Linked DNA regions of Arabidopsis thaliana. The main gene of each other region encodes a partner of the protein of the gene in region 3 in a complex. Each region holds a gene or a part of one and is shown on either strand. Other genes may lie near its edges.

What was found. Proteins that work in one complex are often made in the same cells at the same time.
Region 1: PBG1 (region 3) and AT1G79210 share a complex: the UniProt entries of both Arabidopsis thaliana proteins name them as parts of the 20S core complex.
Region 2: PBG1 (region 3) and PBD2 share a complex: the UniProt entries of both Arabidopsis thaliana proteins name them as parts of the 20S core complex.

The regions. Positions count from the first base shown.
Region 1 is NC_003070.9:29,795,581-29,800,772, reverse strand, and holds AT1G79210 (N-terminal nucleophile aminohydrolases (Ntn hydrolases) superfamily protein), read left to right. Parts: upstream 1-1,936; 5' UTR 1,937-2,117; intron 2,118-2,455; exon of another isoform or gene 2,456-2,512; 5' UTR 2,513-2,532; coding exon 2,533-2,573; intron 2,574-2,667; coding exon 2,668-2,744; intron 2,745-2,831; coding exon 2,832-2,896; intron 2,897-3,024; coding exon 3,025-3,071; intron 3,072-3,268; coding exon 3,269-3,344; intron 3,345-3,511; coding exon 3,512-3,579; intron 3,580-3,808; coding exon 3,809-3,878; intron 3,879-3,977; coding exon 3,978-4,063; intron 4,064-4,139; coding exon 4,140-4,202; intron 4,203-4,288; coding exon 4,289-4,354; intron 4,355-4,438; coding exon 4,439-4,487; 3' UTR 4,488-4,692; downstream 4,693-5,192. Other genes in the region: AT1G79220 (Mitochondrial transcription termination factor family protein), read right to left, coding at 347-1,546; SCI1 (splicing regulatory glutamine/lysine-rich-like protein), read right to left, coding at 5,062-5,192. UniProt on the Arabidopsis thaliana protein: The proteasome is a multicatalytic proteinase complex which is characterized by its ability to cleave peptides with Arg, Phe, Tyr, Leu, and Glu adjacent to the leaving group at neutral or slightly basic pH.
Region 2 is NC_003075.7:8,498,327-8,502,740, forward strand, and holds PBD2 (20S proteasome beta subunit D2), read left to right. Parts: upstream 1-1,939; 5' UTR 1,940-2,071; coding exon 2,072-2,229; intron 2,230-2,320; coding exon 2,321-2,444; intron 2,445-3,133; coding exon 3,134-3,181; intron 3,182-3,414; coding exon 3,415-3,732; 3' UTR 3,733-3,914; downstream 3,915-4,414. Other genes in the region: ATSUV3 (ATP-dependent RNA helicase), read right to left, coding at 38-160, 280-420, 503-693, 772-893, 1,037-1,196, 1,440-1,503; AT4G14805 (Bifunctional inhibitor/lipid-transfer protein/seed storage 2S albumin superfamily protein), read right to left, coding at 4,048-4,271, 4,352-4,408. UniProt on the Arabidopsis thaliana protein: Non-catalytic component of the proteasome, a multicatalytic proteinase complex which is characterized by its ability to cleave peptides with Arg, Phe, Tyr, Leu, and Glu adjacent to the leaving group at neutral or slightly basic pH.
Region 3 is NC_003070.9:21,139,794-21,144,971, reverse strand, and holds PBG1 (20S proteasome beta subunit G1), read right to left. Parts: upstream 3,340-5,178; 5' UTR 3,003-3,339; coding exon 2,994-3,002; intron 2,884-2,993; coding exon 2,819-2,883; intron 2,716-2,818; coding exon 2,639-2,715; intron 1,660-2,638; coding exon 1,530-1,659; intron 1,445-1,529; coding exon 1,285-1,444; intron 1,202-1,284; coding exon 1,016-1,201; intron 900-1,015; coding exon 786-899; 3' UTR 514-785; downstream 1-513. Other genes in the region: TPR5 (Tetratricopeptide repeat (TPR)-like superfamily protein), read left to right, coding at 3,490-3,531, 3,772-3,870, 3,956-4,084, 4,169-4,293, 4,425-4,546, 4,651-4,733, 4,822-5,034. UniProt on the Arabidopsis thaliana protein: Non-catalytic component of the proteasome, a multicatalytic proteinase complex which is characterized by its ability to cleave peptides with Arg, Phe, Tyr, Leu, and Glu adjacent to the leaving group at neutral or slightly basic pH.

The DNA.
Region 1 (5,192 bases), 8.7 Mb from region 3:
TTAGAAAGACGCCAAAACTATTTGCTGTCAGATTGATTCTCTTCAAGTACTAAACCCAAAAAGGTTGCAACTTTGCAAACGTTTTTATCAATAAAGAGGATTTTGTCACTGCCGCCACGAACGGGTCTGGAAGAGAGACACGTCTAGGGCGTCTTTGGCGTTTCGTTTCACCAAACGTGCTTCTTCGCGTTTTGTGTTTTGATATTTTTCTATTCCGGTTTAACTAATCTGATCTAAACCAAAACATGAACCGATTCAAAAGTATCCATTGATAAAGCTGGAAAATTCTACACAATGTTACATCTTTAATGAACATATCCAAAGAAACAAAAGATGAAAAAGAGATTCAAAAGGGGAATCCTTTACGGATGTATTTCTTGGATTTCTCAGCTAAACGTTTCATGTTTTTGGATTTCTCGTAAAACTCCATCAGCTCGGTTGCAATATCTTGTGGATGACACATTACATAAACCTTCAAGAACCGTTTCTCGCTCATCCTTACCGCTCTGAAAATGCTCACTTCTTTTATCAATGGCTTTAGACGCATTTCCAAGACTCTCTTAACGAGATCCGCACGAGGTTTTAGACGAGACTCGAGGTTGAGGAGAAGCAAACAAGGGTGCTTAACCACGGAATGAGCTGGAAGTTTCATCGAGGCTATGACGAAAGTCATGTTTCTCTGAACTTTCTCAACAGAGAGAGAGAGAAGGATTGGGCATTTTCCATACAGGTGCCAAATCTCTTCTTCCGAGAACCCAAACTTTTCCAAGTTTCTAACTTTCTCTTCGATTGTCTCCATCCTCGAGACCCCGATGATGACTGCAACATATTTAAACATCTTGGATTCTCTGGTGACTCCAGTTTTCTCAATGTATTCAAACTTCTCATTGTTAAAGTTTGTTCTTGGAATCAACGTGGGTCGCGATATCAACATTGCGACAAGATCCTGTTGGCTAAAGCCCAACCCTTTGTAGTATTCTATCGCGGGTTTGATCTTGTCATCGAGGTCATACAACATGAGTGACGGATTCCGGATAATGACTCTGCGCAACACCTCTTTTGACCCCAAAATCTCCATGAAGTAGTTGATCCTTTCATCAAGGACAAGACGGCAACTAAAGAACCTAGGACGACAGTTAAGAATCTTCACAAGGTCTGAAGACGTGATTCCCAGTGGCTTAAGAAGGCTTAACTTAAACTCTAACTGAGCAACATTGGCTCTCTGCAAAGCAGGCCTACGAGTAAAAAGCTTGGATATTTCATCATCATCACAACCCCATCTTCGTAAAACTTGTAAAGGACTACTAGTAATATCTCTCACTTTCTCTTTTTCACCAACTTCTCCAACATAATCAAATTTTTTTCTCCTAGACGATAGATCAGAATCCTCAATGCATTCTTCAGATTCATTCAGGCATAACGTCGAACACCTGGTGGTAAAGGTAGCAGAAATGAGATTTCTACAACCAGCCTTTCTGACCAAGCTCGAACTAGTAAACAATAATCTGATAACAGCTAAGAAATTTCTCTTCCCGGTCGAATGCATTTCAAGGGCGTAATCGAGAGTTTAACAAACTGGAGAAATAAAGGAGCAAATTTTCTCTAAGAATCAACAATGGCTCTGCCTCAACGACACAATCAGCGACATTTACACGCGTATTTCAGATGCTTCTTCCATCCAATTTTCCGAAATAGCTAGAAAAAATGGAACAATTACCAGTACACGAAGCTTGTGATGAACGAGCGAAGAAACAAACTCCGACCAACGGAGGAGAGTTTGTCAGAGAAGAAGGAGGCGATGGAGAGAGACACAGCCAATTCGGACCAGGTTTGAGTCCGAGTCGGGCGTGGAAGCGAGAGAGAGTAGGGGACTAGGGGTAGTAAATAAATAATGTGGTTCAAACTGAAAAGAGATATAAAATATTGGACTATTATGTAAGATACAGTAACTGTGAAGTTGTTAAAACGCCGCCGTTTTGGTTTTTTTGTTTCTCTCGTTTTCTGGCGTCAGACTCTCACCCTTTGTGCAAGAAACCTTGAGAGCTTAAAAATTCTTCACTTGGGTCTCTTCTCTCTCTCTTCTCTTGCGACCATTCCGTTCGATCCATATATCAAAGGTATGTTGCTTTGATTGAATGGGTTTCTTTTGTTGAATTTAAATTGATAACTTTAAATATATTGAATTTGGGGTTTAAGAAAAGTTTTCAATTTTCGTCTCTGAGTTTGAGCTAAGAGCTGATCTTTGAGTTTGAGTTTGTGTTTGATTTGATTCACTCACAATTCTTAATTAGGGTTGGTATATCTTGTCTTTTTCATCGTTTTCCTTACACATTGCCCATGGCGATGAGACTCTTCCGGGTTTTTAAGCTTTGTCAGATTTGAACGCTTCAGTCTACTTACTTGCTCAGACGTGGTTTCTTTTCATTTAAGTTTGAACATTGTTGATGAAGAACAGATTTAGCTTCCACGTTTCTAAATTTCCAGAGATGACACTATTTCGCATTTTTTGCAGCTTGATTTAGTTGGTTTTCAATGGGGGACAGTCAGTACTCGTTTTCTCTCACCACCTTCAGGTATTAACTTTGTTTATCATATCAATGTTATCTCTTTCTGAGCATTTGGAACGGTTTCTTCGGGGTTTGATTCATGTTGTGGTTTATGAAACAGCCCATCAGGGAAGCTGGTTCAGATAGAACATGCCCTAACAGCTGTTGGATCAGGCCAAACATCACTTGGAATTAAAGGTTTTTTCAATGATCTAATCAAATTCGAGAGGAGATTTTTAAGGAACATTGTCTTTGGTAATCATGACTGTTGTTTTCTTTATGCAGCTTCAAATGGAGTTGTCATTGCAACTGAAAAGAAACTTCCTTCTATATTGGTTGATGAAGCGTCTGTAAGTTTGATCAACTCTTTATAGCAATTAGTTCTTTTTCATTCTGTGCCTGCTCGTGTTACTTTCCTTTCGGTTGCATAGTTTCAGTAACTCCTACGAAACTAATGTTTATCTATTGTCTGTTTCAGGTTCAAAAGATTCAACATTTGACTCCCAACATTGGAACTGTTTACAGGTTCTTCTCTTCAGCTATCCATACTTCTTTTTTAATAGCGAATTTGGTTTTATAGCTTGCAAATTGGATTTATCATACATTTTTTATTTTGTTTTGGGTACTTAGTCTCTCTCATCAGGTGCTAGTGCTACTGATGGAACCTTTCCCTTAGTACCCTAATGATTTCAGTGCTAACTTTGGTATTGCCTTTTATGTAGTGGTATGGGTCCTGATTTCCGAGTTCTTGTGCGAAAGAGTAGGAAGCAGGCTGAGCAATATCTCCGTCTGTACAAGGTAATCTTTAATATCTTCTGTTTTTTTGTCTTCTTTTCCTGGAGTGTCTAGTAGTACATGTATGATAAAAACTTTGGATTGATGATTCCAGTTGATATAAGTTCTTGCTTATTCATAAATCCAGATCGCTCTGTTGATTCAACTTCTAAGGGCGTTTATTGTTGCAGGAACCCATCCCCGTTACTCAACTTGTAAGGGAAACTGCCACGGTGATGCAAGAGTTCACTCAATCGGGGTAAGTACTATATCGAGTGTTATGTAATTACTTCCTCTCATATGCTCAACAGGGTTCAAAAGTGTTATTGGCTCAGAGATTGCAACTCTAGAGCGAGTCTCTCTATGCACTTTTTAGCTCAGTTTTGATATTGATTTGGCGTGAGATAATGTTGTTAATGCAAATCTGTATTTGCAAACTAGACTACTGAATCTTGCTTCTAATCTCTGTCTCCTTCTGCTGTTAATAGTGGTGTTAGGCCGTTTGGAGTTTCTCTACTGGTGGCTGGGTATGATGACAAGGGTCCACAACTGTATCAAGTAAGTAGAACTTTAAAGAAAATATAACCATCCTGCTCAAAGTGAAGTAAAACCCGTAAACTGAAAACATCTTATTTCATAATTTTCATTGGCCACTAGGTGGATCCATCTGGCTCTTATTTCTCATGGAAAGCTTCTGCAATGGGAAAGAATGTTTCGAATGCAAAGACGTTTCTTGAGAAGAGGTGATAATAATTTACCATTTGTGGTGATGAGTTTATGATCTTGGAAGCATGTCATTTCATCTTAGTCTTTGATCAGGTACACAGAAGATATGGAACTTGATGATGCCATTCACACGGCAATATTGACATTGAAGGAAGGGTGAGCATTTTTACCAAAACTTAATTTACTTTATTTCCAGAGTTCAGAATTTCTCAAAAGCCTATAACCTCCGTGTCTTTTCACAGTTTCGAGGGAGAAATCTCAAGCAAAAACATCGAGATTGGCAAAATCGGTACTGACAAAGTTTTCAGGTAAACATTCAAGACTACAAAACTAATATAAACAAAAAATCTTGTTATTCCCATCAATATCTGAAAAGTGAATGTTATATGCAGGGTGCTAACACCAGCAGAAATCGATGATTACTTGGCTGAAGTCGAGTAAAACTTTCACTTAACCGTGCAACCAACCTGATTTGAATCTCAGTATACTCTCAGAGTTGATGGTTCTTGCTTTTGTAAAACTTTTGGAATTTGTTAAGGAGACTCGTGACCCAATAATTTAGAATATGTTTTTTCACTCATTTAAACGTCTGTTGTGAAAATTCAGTTTCATATAACCAAGTTTCATGCACACAAATTACTTAGCCAAAGCTACATATACGCTGTGTTGTAAATGCCAGTAGGAACTTACATACTGTACAAGACCAACTTTCAATCAAAACGGTCTATTTCTCCCTTAACCGGATATCAAATTCTCAATGTTACATAAGGATTCATCAGATAGTTCTTCGGCAACTTTGGTTAAGACCTTGGATATGTAAAGTTTGTCTTACTCTGAAAACCGACTACATATCTCTCCACGACAATCTATCTAACTAGTTCAGCAACAAGAAGTTCTAAGTAGAGAAACTACATAGAAATATATCTCTGATGCAATCAACCTTCACGTGTACAAGAAGCAAGAAGAGAGGTAACCGGCGAACCACAGAAGAGGAAGGTATTGCTTTTGCTTTTTTTCACCTACGCTTGATCATCCAGTCGTGAGCTGTTCGTGGGGCAGTGGAGATTCCCTCGTAGTATCGAGACTCGAGTTTTCCTCTGTTCCATCTCTTGACAAATCGTGAGAACAGTCCTCGTGCAGCTTCGG
Region 2 (4,414 bases), on a different chromosome or scaffold from region 3:
AATACAGGAAGAGAGAACAAGATAAGTAACTGCTAACCTTATACGCATATATATCTTTTCGGGAAAAAGTGACAAGACAATCCCCAGTTTTAATACTGGAAACTGATGAAACAGGAACCTTCAAAGGGACTAATGGTGAAAGCCTCTCATAGGTATGAACCTGAATTCAAAATAAAAGGGATCAAGAGGTCGTGATTACATCAAGAGTATTGGTATTTAATTATAAACAAGAAATAATTAGAGAAGAAAAAGGGACTCTAGCTCGAATAAACATGATACCTCGACATCATCTCCAGTTACTTTCAGTATATCTTCAACAAGAGGTACGACAGCTGGATCGCCACATAAATGTAGCTCATCAGCCGCGATTCCAAGTAAAGCACGAGTAAATGCAAATCCCCTTTGTTTACATCCCACCATCTGAAATTAGGGAAAGAAAGGATGAGAATAACAAACAAAAAGTTCTTGTCGATTTCTTAAGCCAAAGTCGAGCAAGACTAGCCTGAATTTCGTCAATGATGGCACAATCGTAGACAGATGTAACATCAGCCATTTCAACTGTCACAGCTTTGTGTGTTGCCCCTTCCACTAAGTCTTTCTCTTGTCCCGTGATCAAATCACATGGAACATTTGCTTTGTTTAACCGTTTAGCTACCTCCCATGCCAACAATCTTAACGGACCACAATATACACCTTCAAGTGAAAGAAGCAAATTTTAAACAGTTCAAGAACTGGCTTCCAAAAGGTTTATTAGTCACCTTCAAGGCATACCTGAAGAACTCTGTTCAAGGTGCTTAAGGGCACTATATGTCTTCCCGCTGTTTGTCGGGCCAACATGTAGAATGACCTTACGCTTCTTCTTCCGAGCTATAGGATACCATGTATGAGGACAGCTAGAATTCAAAGTAATGACAGAAATATAAATCAGTTCCTCTTTACTAATCTCTCCACAACAACAATGGAACTGCAAAGAGAATCGCAATTAGTTGCTACTGGGGAGCTAACAAAAAAATTCTACAAGAAGTTTTACTCTTACGTGAGATCAGTGAAATCGAACTTTGAGGTGGTTCCAGTGCCAGTGAAATCAAACTTTGGAGATCCAGAGTTCTTTCTATAATTCCTAGTCAAGACACCTAATCTCAAAAGGTCACCAAACTCAGGTTCAAAGTGAAACCGCCACAAACTTCCTTTATCAGCTGAAACATTAGGCAACACGAAGCCATCATAAGATACAACGTTAAACCAATCCAATCTTCTTCTAGACACTACACAGAAACAGATGTAGAAGCTGCAAAGCTCATAAAGGTTCAAACTTTCTGTATCCAGATGATCAAAATTTCTGATAGTTCCTTTCTAAGATCACTTACAAACTACAATCCGCAATTTCTAACCAAAAGAGAACCAGAAAACAGAGAAAAAAAGGGTTTAAAAGCTCCAACCTTGAAGAACACGAGAAATCCCCAAAGCTGAAACCTTTCGAAGCCGAACAACAGAATACGCCATGTTTAGATTGTTTTATCTATTGAAATGAAGACACAACACTTTCTTATCCTTTATTCACCATGGGAAATACAATTCGAGTATACTCACGACGACACCTTTCATTTGCTTTGAAGGAAGCTCAAAGTTACAGAAATCAAACTCTTGAAATCGAGGACGAGATAAACAATAAAGAGAAATTAAAACCAAATTCTCTTTTATAATTAGAAACTGAAGAAACCATCTCAGACTTCCATTGTTAGACCTTATTCTTCTCAGAGGGTCGGCGACTCAGCAAGAAGCGGGAGAGAGAAGAAAACGAGAGGTTCCTTTTTAATTTACAAATTAACCCCTAAGCTTTTCCTATTACTCTCTCTTACACCCTCCTACTTTAAAAAATAGAAATGTCCCCATAACGTTAATATGTCTAAAATACCCCTGACTATATTCTAGAACTACCAAATCAACCCGTCTTGTTCGCCAAGTCGCTTTGATCTAAAAAGCTCTTAAACTATTCTTCCAGCGACCGGAAGAAACGAATAATCGGAATCGAAAAATTCGAAAAAGGAACTGAGAAGAAACAGATCTGAAGATGGAGTGTGTATTTGGTCTAGTTGGGAATGGATTCGCTATCGTGGCGGCGGATACATCAGCAGTTCACAGTATTCTTCTTCACAAGAACAAAGAGGACAAGATCATGACTCTTGACTCTCACAAGCTCGTCGCCGCTAGTGGTGAGCCTGGTGACCGGTAAAAAAACTTCTCCGTCTCTCTCTCTGTCTGTGATTCAGTAGTAGTAGTACATGAATTTGATTTCTGTTTTTTTTTGGATTTACTTTAGGGTTCAGTTTACGGAGTATGTTCAGAAGAATGTGTCACTGTATCAGTTTCGTAATGGGATTCCTTTGAGTACTGCTGCTGCTGCTAACTTCACTCGTGGAGAACTTGCCACTGCTTTGAGAAAGGTTCTAACTTTTCTTCTACGGTTTTTTATTTTTTTATTTCAGAAGTTTCTCTGCCTTATTTTAGATTTGGGGAATTAGGGTTTTAATCTCTTTGAGGTACATATACTTTTATGAAATAGTGAGATTGTGGGGTATCATCAGATCAGCGATTGGTGCTTAGTGCTTATTCTTGGTTTTTTAGTTTCCTCTTTTGATGCAATGTAGTTGAACTTGTCTTTCTTCTTTAGTTAAACATGTCAATTTTTTTGAAGCTTTCCTCTGTCATACTATGGTTTTGATTGTGTTAAGATGTTTGATGCTTAATACTTGTTGATAAGTTTATATAAGCCTTTGTGTTTCACTTCCTCTTGTATGGTGGTGTAAAACCATTGTTGATACAGGTAGTTCTAATACTTGTTAATATTCATTACCTCAGAGTAGCTAAATGCCATTAGAAACTTTACCTAATGTGTTCATTATGTAGACATAGTGTGGCCTTTAGAAATATTCAAGGTATTTCAGACTATTCTACACATTGTTGCAGTTTTATGTCCTTGGATGTTACAGAAGATTATCTTTGAGTTGGACGAAGTTATGAAATTTAGAATTATGATGCAGAAAAGATGAAACTCGGATTACAGCTTAATAGTTTTCTTATGCCAAGCTTGATAAGTAATATTATTTCATTAACTAAGAATTTACAAGACTAGGAATTTTGTGCTACCTTCCAAGGTTACTCTGACTTCTGTGTCTTGATGGTGAAAATCTGATACTCAAGGCTAACTGATGTGTGATCATTTTTACCGGTTTAGGGTAGATCTTCCAACTTTGGACAGTGTTGAGTGGGGTTTATACCCATGTAGCCTTAGCTATAGATTGTTAAATGATCTGATTGATTCCCTGGATTTTTTTGGGTTGTTTAGGACTGGTCTGCATATTCGCACTTGACATTTTGAGATTTCCCATTGTTGTCTGTTCTATTTGATTCCAGAATCCATATTCGGTGAACATCCTGATGGCTGGCTATGACAAAGAAGCCGGCGCATCTCTATACTACATTGACTACATTGCAACCCTCCACAAGGTTGATAAGGGAGCATTTGGATACGGCTCATACTTCTCTCTCTCTACAATGGACAGACACTACCGCAGCGACATGTCTGTTGAAGAAGCCATTGAATTGGTGGACAAATGCATACTCGAGATCAGGTCAAGGCTGGTCATTGCACCACCAAACTTTGTTATCAAGATTGTTGACAAGGACGGAGCCCGTGAGTACGGATGGCGTATCAGCACTGCTGATGCCTAAGTTGTTTTCATTGTGTTTATTAGTCCATTTATGTTACTCGGCTCACATTTATATTCTCTGTTGAACTTCAAGCTCCCTGGATATTAAAGTTCCTAGATAATGATGATGATATGCATGTGTTGAACTTTTTCTTTCCTTATTGCGTATATGAAGCAAAAGATAGTGCAATGTAAACCTAAACATCTTCTTCTACTATATCATCTCTATTCTCTGCGTTTCTACATAGGGAAGACTTTAACACAAGCCCAATGGTAAAATCTTAAGTATCAATGAAGTAAACATAAGCAGTAAAAAGCACAGAGAGCTTAAAACAGTTCAGATACGAGCGAGAATAGAAGTGGCAAAAGTCATGATGATAGTCGATGGAAACCAGAAGTTTCTGATCTTGAGAGAGTCGCTTGAGAAGTATTGTAGAACTGGTAGTGGTGGTGGTGGTGGTGGTGGTGCTAGGGTGGCTGTTTCCGGTGAGAATAGATCGGAGCTTGGTGAAACTTCCGGTGCTAAGTCGACTGATTGAGGAGAGGCAGAAACATTATTACCTGCAGAATATGAATGAATGAAGCAAGTTACATGTCAACGAAACTTAAAACAGAATCCACCGGAATAATCCGTTTCTTACCGGAAACAAACGGATTTGTGAACTGAATACTCTGAAGCGGAGGAAGCTCCGGCGACTCTGCAC
Region 3 (5,178 bases):
TACGTTTACAAGTTCAAGAAAACTACTCACCCTATGAATTTAATAGATCTTGTAACTATTAGACCATTTCCATTAGAAGTTTTTCACAAGAGTTTTTCACAACTAAAAAAATAAAAATATTAAAAATGAAAGAGAAAGAAGGTAGAAAGTTTCTCACTTGAGAAACTATGAGATACTCTCTACAACTCATCATGACATTTCTCTCTTTATCATTAGTTCAGTTTTTAACTAAAATAAAAAAAATTAATCATATAATAAAACTTTATTTTTTTGTTTGTTTGGAAAACTCTTTGAATTTCTAATGGAGATGCTCTTAAAAACCTATTTGACTAGATAATAACCTGATGGAATTTGTACTTTTGGAATTTGGATTCAATTAGGAGATGAATAATGCATATCACGAAATGGAGTTGTTAATACTTTACTTGTTAAGAATTTACTGAAATAATTATGATTAATAAATAATGAGAGAGTAGGTTCCAATAGATGATTTATTAATTTTATGAATTTGTGTGCAAATTGTGTCAACTTCACTTAAAATGAGAAAAGAGAAAGGAGACCAAAAAGCGATGGAGAACGATCAACAATGAACAAAGGTATGGATTACTACCCAAAGATATCCAGTACTTTTTATAAATCCTCATTGATCTAAACTCTGGACTGTCAGAAAGAAACCACCAAGTTTAATAGTAAAACAACTACAGTACAAAGTGTTTAACAACATCACATAAAATAAAATAAAAGCTTCCTTAAAAGATCGCCAGCCGATGTGGTTGCTTGGCTTCTTACCAGGAGCCTGCAGCACCAGCAGTTGGGTTGTGGAATGACGAGAATTCCCAGTATGTCTTCAATGAGTATGGCTGTGAGACCGTCACGCCCTCTTCCGTGATCTTCGCTATCTGCACAGTTTTCATATTTTCTGTTATTACAATCCTTATGAAGAACTTCTACCAAACTAAACAAAGATTATACGAGATGAGATAACGGTAAACAAAACTTGTTATTAGAGACAAACCTGAAGCTTGTTAATAGCAGATCTGTCACGGTAAAGAAGCACACGCATACATTTCTCAAGTAGCTTGACACCATCTTCAAAACTCAGGTCTGCATGCCACTCATCACGAAGAATTGGCCTAGCAAGGTGGTTTCCAAATCCAGTGGCAACATGATCGTCCTCAAAACTAACACCAATCATTGACACCTAGAGAGAAGCAAATGGATCCAAATCAATAGTTACATTCATAAGAAAATTTTATATATGTGACTTGAAAGACTGAGACGTACCATTCCAAGGTAACTTTTCCCATTTTTGACGCCTCCAAGGACGAGAGTGTTCCACAGAGGGTTAAACTTGTTGCGACGGTTGTACATCACACGGGTCAGATAGTTGTGAATCTCTTTTGGTCCCAAAGAGTTACCATCATCCCACATGTTATCATTCAGGCTGTGTAAAACCAAGGGCTTGTGAGGCTTGATAATTGACAAGGAAAGATTAAAATATAAAAAAATTGAACCAAACGGATTCTTACGTGAGCTCATCAAGATAACGGAGAATCTCCTGAAAGTCGCTGATTTCTCCGCTGGCACCAAGAAGAGAATGCTTACCAATAGCCTTCACTCTCTCGATGTTCTTGTATCTTAAGGTTGATCCATATGAACCTGCATGCAAAAATTTGAAAGTGAGTTGATGGCACAATATCGTAATTTCCCTGGTGCATAAGTCCCAGGAAACCAGGATCACACCATTAGAACATAAAAGAATAATCCAAGCTACATAGATATACCATCAAAATTATTAACCGTACAAACAAATGACAGCTCTTACTTATTGTGAGTCGGTGTTAAGATATGAGAAATCAAACTATTTCAATGAACATAGCTAAGTACTGGTTGATGGTTGTAACGTTAATTCTCAGTTGTCATCTCTTGACCTAATTAACAATGGATGGCACACAGGGAACCGAAACAAAAGCAAAAAGATCTAGAAACAGTCAAGACTTTTCAACATTATTCTCTGGATCATTCATAAAAGAAGCCTCAATTCTTAGTTTACCCTAAATCTAACAATATTAAAGAGACGAAACAGGAACAACCAAAGAACTGTAACATTCTATGTTGGAAAGATAACGTAGCTAAGAAAACAAATGCAAGGGGGATGTGAAACTAATCTCATAAAAAACAAAAAGCAATTGCTTGTCTATATGTTTAGCCCAAAATACATATTATTATCAATCAAGCAGCTAATAGACATAACAAAACCTGTTCTGCATAATAGTGTTTGACCCTAATTCACTGAATCGTCTATAAAGATGCAAAAATCAAATTTGACCAAAAGAATCAAACCATACTTAAAAATGTAGCAGAAAAGACACTAGAGAAATGAAATTTGAAGGATTCATACGCATGAAACGAGCATATCTGAAACACATGATCTATTCACTGACTTGTGATGATCTCTCACAGAGAAAAAGAAACAGATTTAACCAAACAAACACCAAGAGAGGCAAAACAAACGATTCAAGCAATCAAGCTTATAACAGATGTAAATCTAAACATACATTGCAAAAATTTGTGCATACATTAAACCAATACAAATACTTAACCAAATAAAGAGCTGAAACTAGGAGCTGAGACATACCTCCCATATCAGAAGCCATCAAAACCCCATCTTTGTACTTGATTGCAACAATTGAAGTTCCAGTAACATATGGGTACCTAAACAAAAAACCAAAACAAAACCCTAATAAATTCAAAATCGAATCCCAAATTTTCTCAAAATCGAAAACCCTACATAAGCATAAGAGTAAGAGATTTTTACAGTGTTCTTTGTGATTCTTCTTCTGCGATCTTCATAGAATCTCCGTTATCAATCGGAACAGAAAACTGCTCAGAAGAAGAAACAAAATCAAAATCAGGAAAACGAAATCAAACCTAGAAGGATCAGAAGCAGAGATAGTAATAAGAACATTGAAGACGAGATTGATCTGACTTACAGTCGTCATATTCTCGAAAAATATCGTAGTGAGCTTTAGGTTCTTCTTCTTAAGATCTGATGGTTTTGGTTTTGTTTACCTCACTAAAAAGACTTCTGTGATTTCCTTTCGCTCAAGAAACATAGCGAATCGGGCCTGACCCGGTGTTTACCGGTTTAACCTGGTTATTCACCCGATCCGATTTGATCTCACACACTAATATCAATTTATTGGTTTAATACGGTTCTTTACCTGACCCGACCTGACTCAGTTTCACACGTAGAGGTGTCAAACGGGCCGGTTTATTCTCGATTTGACCCGACCTACCCGATCTCAACCAATATTATCGATTTAACCCGGTTACTGACATGACCCCACCCGACATTACTCAAATATCGGAAAGCCCAAGTCCAATACTGTAGTTCAAAATTGAACTCTGTGACTTTCTCAGTCTTCTTCTAGAATCATCTTTGCTCTTTCTCGTCGACTATTTGCTCGCCGGAGAATCTCTCTCAGAATGGCTAGGTCACCGAGCAAACACGGCCGCGATCAAACTCAGGTAACCATTTCTACTCGATTCATCTTTCTTACATGAATCTTCTCTAGCTAAAATCTCTGTTTACTCGAGAATGAAAAAGGAAAAAAATCGAAACGACTCGTGCTCCTTATCTCCACTTCGTTATCTAGATTTCATGGAGATTGTTAGTTCAACGAACTGTTGTACAATCGATTATGTATATAGACTAAGAACGAATTAGATGTTTACTTGCATCGTTTGGTTTCGAATTTTTTTTTCCAGGATTTCCAGGGATTTTTCAATGACTTGCAGGATTGGGAACTCTCATTGAAGGATAAAGACAAGAAGATTAAGCAACAACCTGCTAATTCGTCGAATCCGGTTCGTTCTTTTGTGTATATACAGAAGTGCTCTCATTTGTAAAACTTAATGCATCCTTATGAGATTCCTTGTTTTGAACTTTCAGAGTAGTGAGACGTTCAGACCAAGTGGGTCAGGGAAATATGACTTTGCTAAAAAGTATCGTTCCATTAGGGATTTGTCGAGTAGTTTGATTGGAGAAAGTCTATTGGATTCTAGTTCAGAGAAGGAGCAGGTACTTTCTCTTCTTCAAGCTTTGTTTTTGTTATGTGATATTCTCGTGATGCAATCTTTCTCATGGACCTCTCTTGGAATACAGGGTAATGAATTCTTCAAGCAGAAGAAGTTCAATGAGGCGATTGATTGTTACTCTCGGAGCATTGCTTTATCGCCAAATGCTGTGACTTATGCAAATCGAGCAATGGCTTACCTTAAAATCAAAAGGTTTGCTCATTGTCTGTTTCATTGGTTTTATTCATTCATCACTGTGACTCTTGTGTGTGTCCACTTGTCTTCCATTACCTGATCCTCTTTAAGCTATATTTTCTGACTTTGTAAAATGATTCTTACATTAGATATCGAGAGGCTGAGGTTGACTGCACAGAAGCTTTAAATCTGGATGATCGATATATAAAAGCTTACTCACGCCGAGCAACAGCAAGAAAAGAACTCGGCATGATTAAAGAAGCCAAAGAAGGTATCCCTCGCACCCATATAATCATTCATTCTGTTCTGTTAAGATACATACAATTTCTTTATTACATGTTGCTGCATATGTAAGGTGATTAAAATTATTCGCAGATGCTGAGTTTGCCTTAAGATTGGAGCCTGAGAGCCAGGAACTTAAGAAGCAATATGCCGATATCAAATCTTTGCTCGAGAAAGTAATATTTTCATATGCTTCTTTGCTGCATTTTTGCCAGGTTAATTTTAAATGCTTCACAAATACTTAACTTTTTGAATTTTGAGCAGGAAATCATTGAGAAAGCCACTGGAGCAATGCAAAGCACTGCACAAGAATTACTCAAAACATCAGGTTTAGATAAGAAAATACAAAAGCCAAAGACAGAAATGACTTCAAAGCCAGTGACCCTAGTGGCCAAAACGAACAGGGATATTGTTCAGCCTGTTCTAGGTAGCAATGAAAGTTCGGGAAAGAAGCTCATTGAAAATATACAACCTGAGGTATATTTCAAGTTTATTTTGTTTGATATAAGTTAAGTTCAAAAGTGCACATCTAAAAGGTCGTGTAGAATTAGTTTTACTAGTAAAGTTTGTCGGATATTATTATCACATGGAAACTTTATCTTTAGTTAGCATAGATGGAAT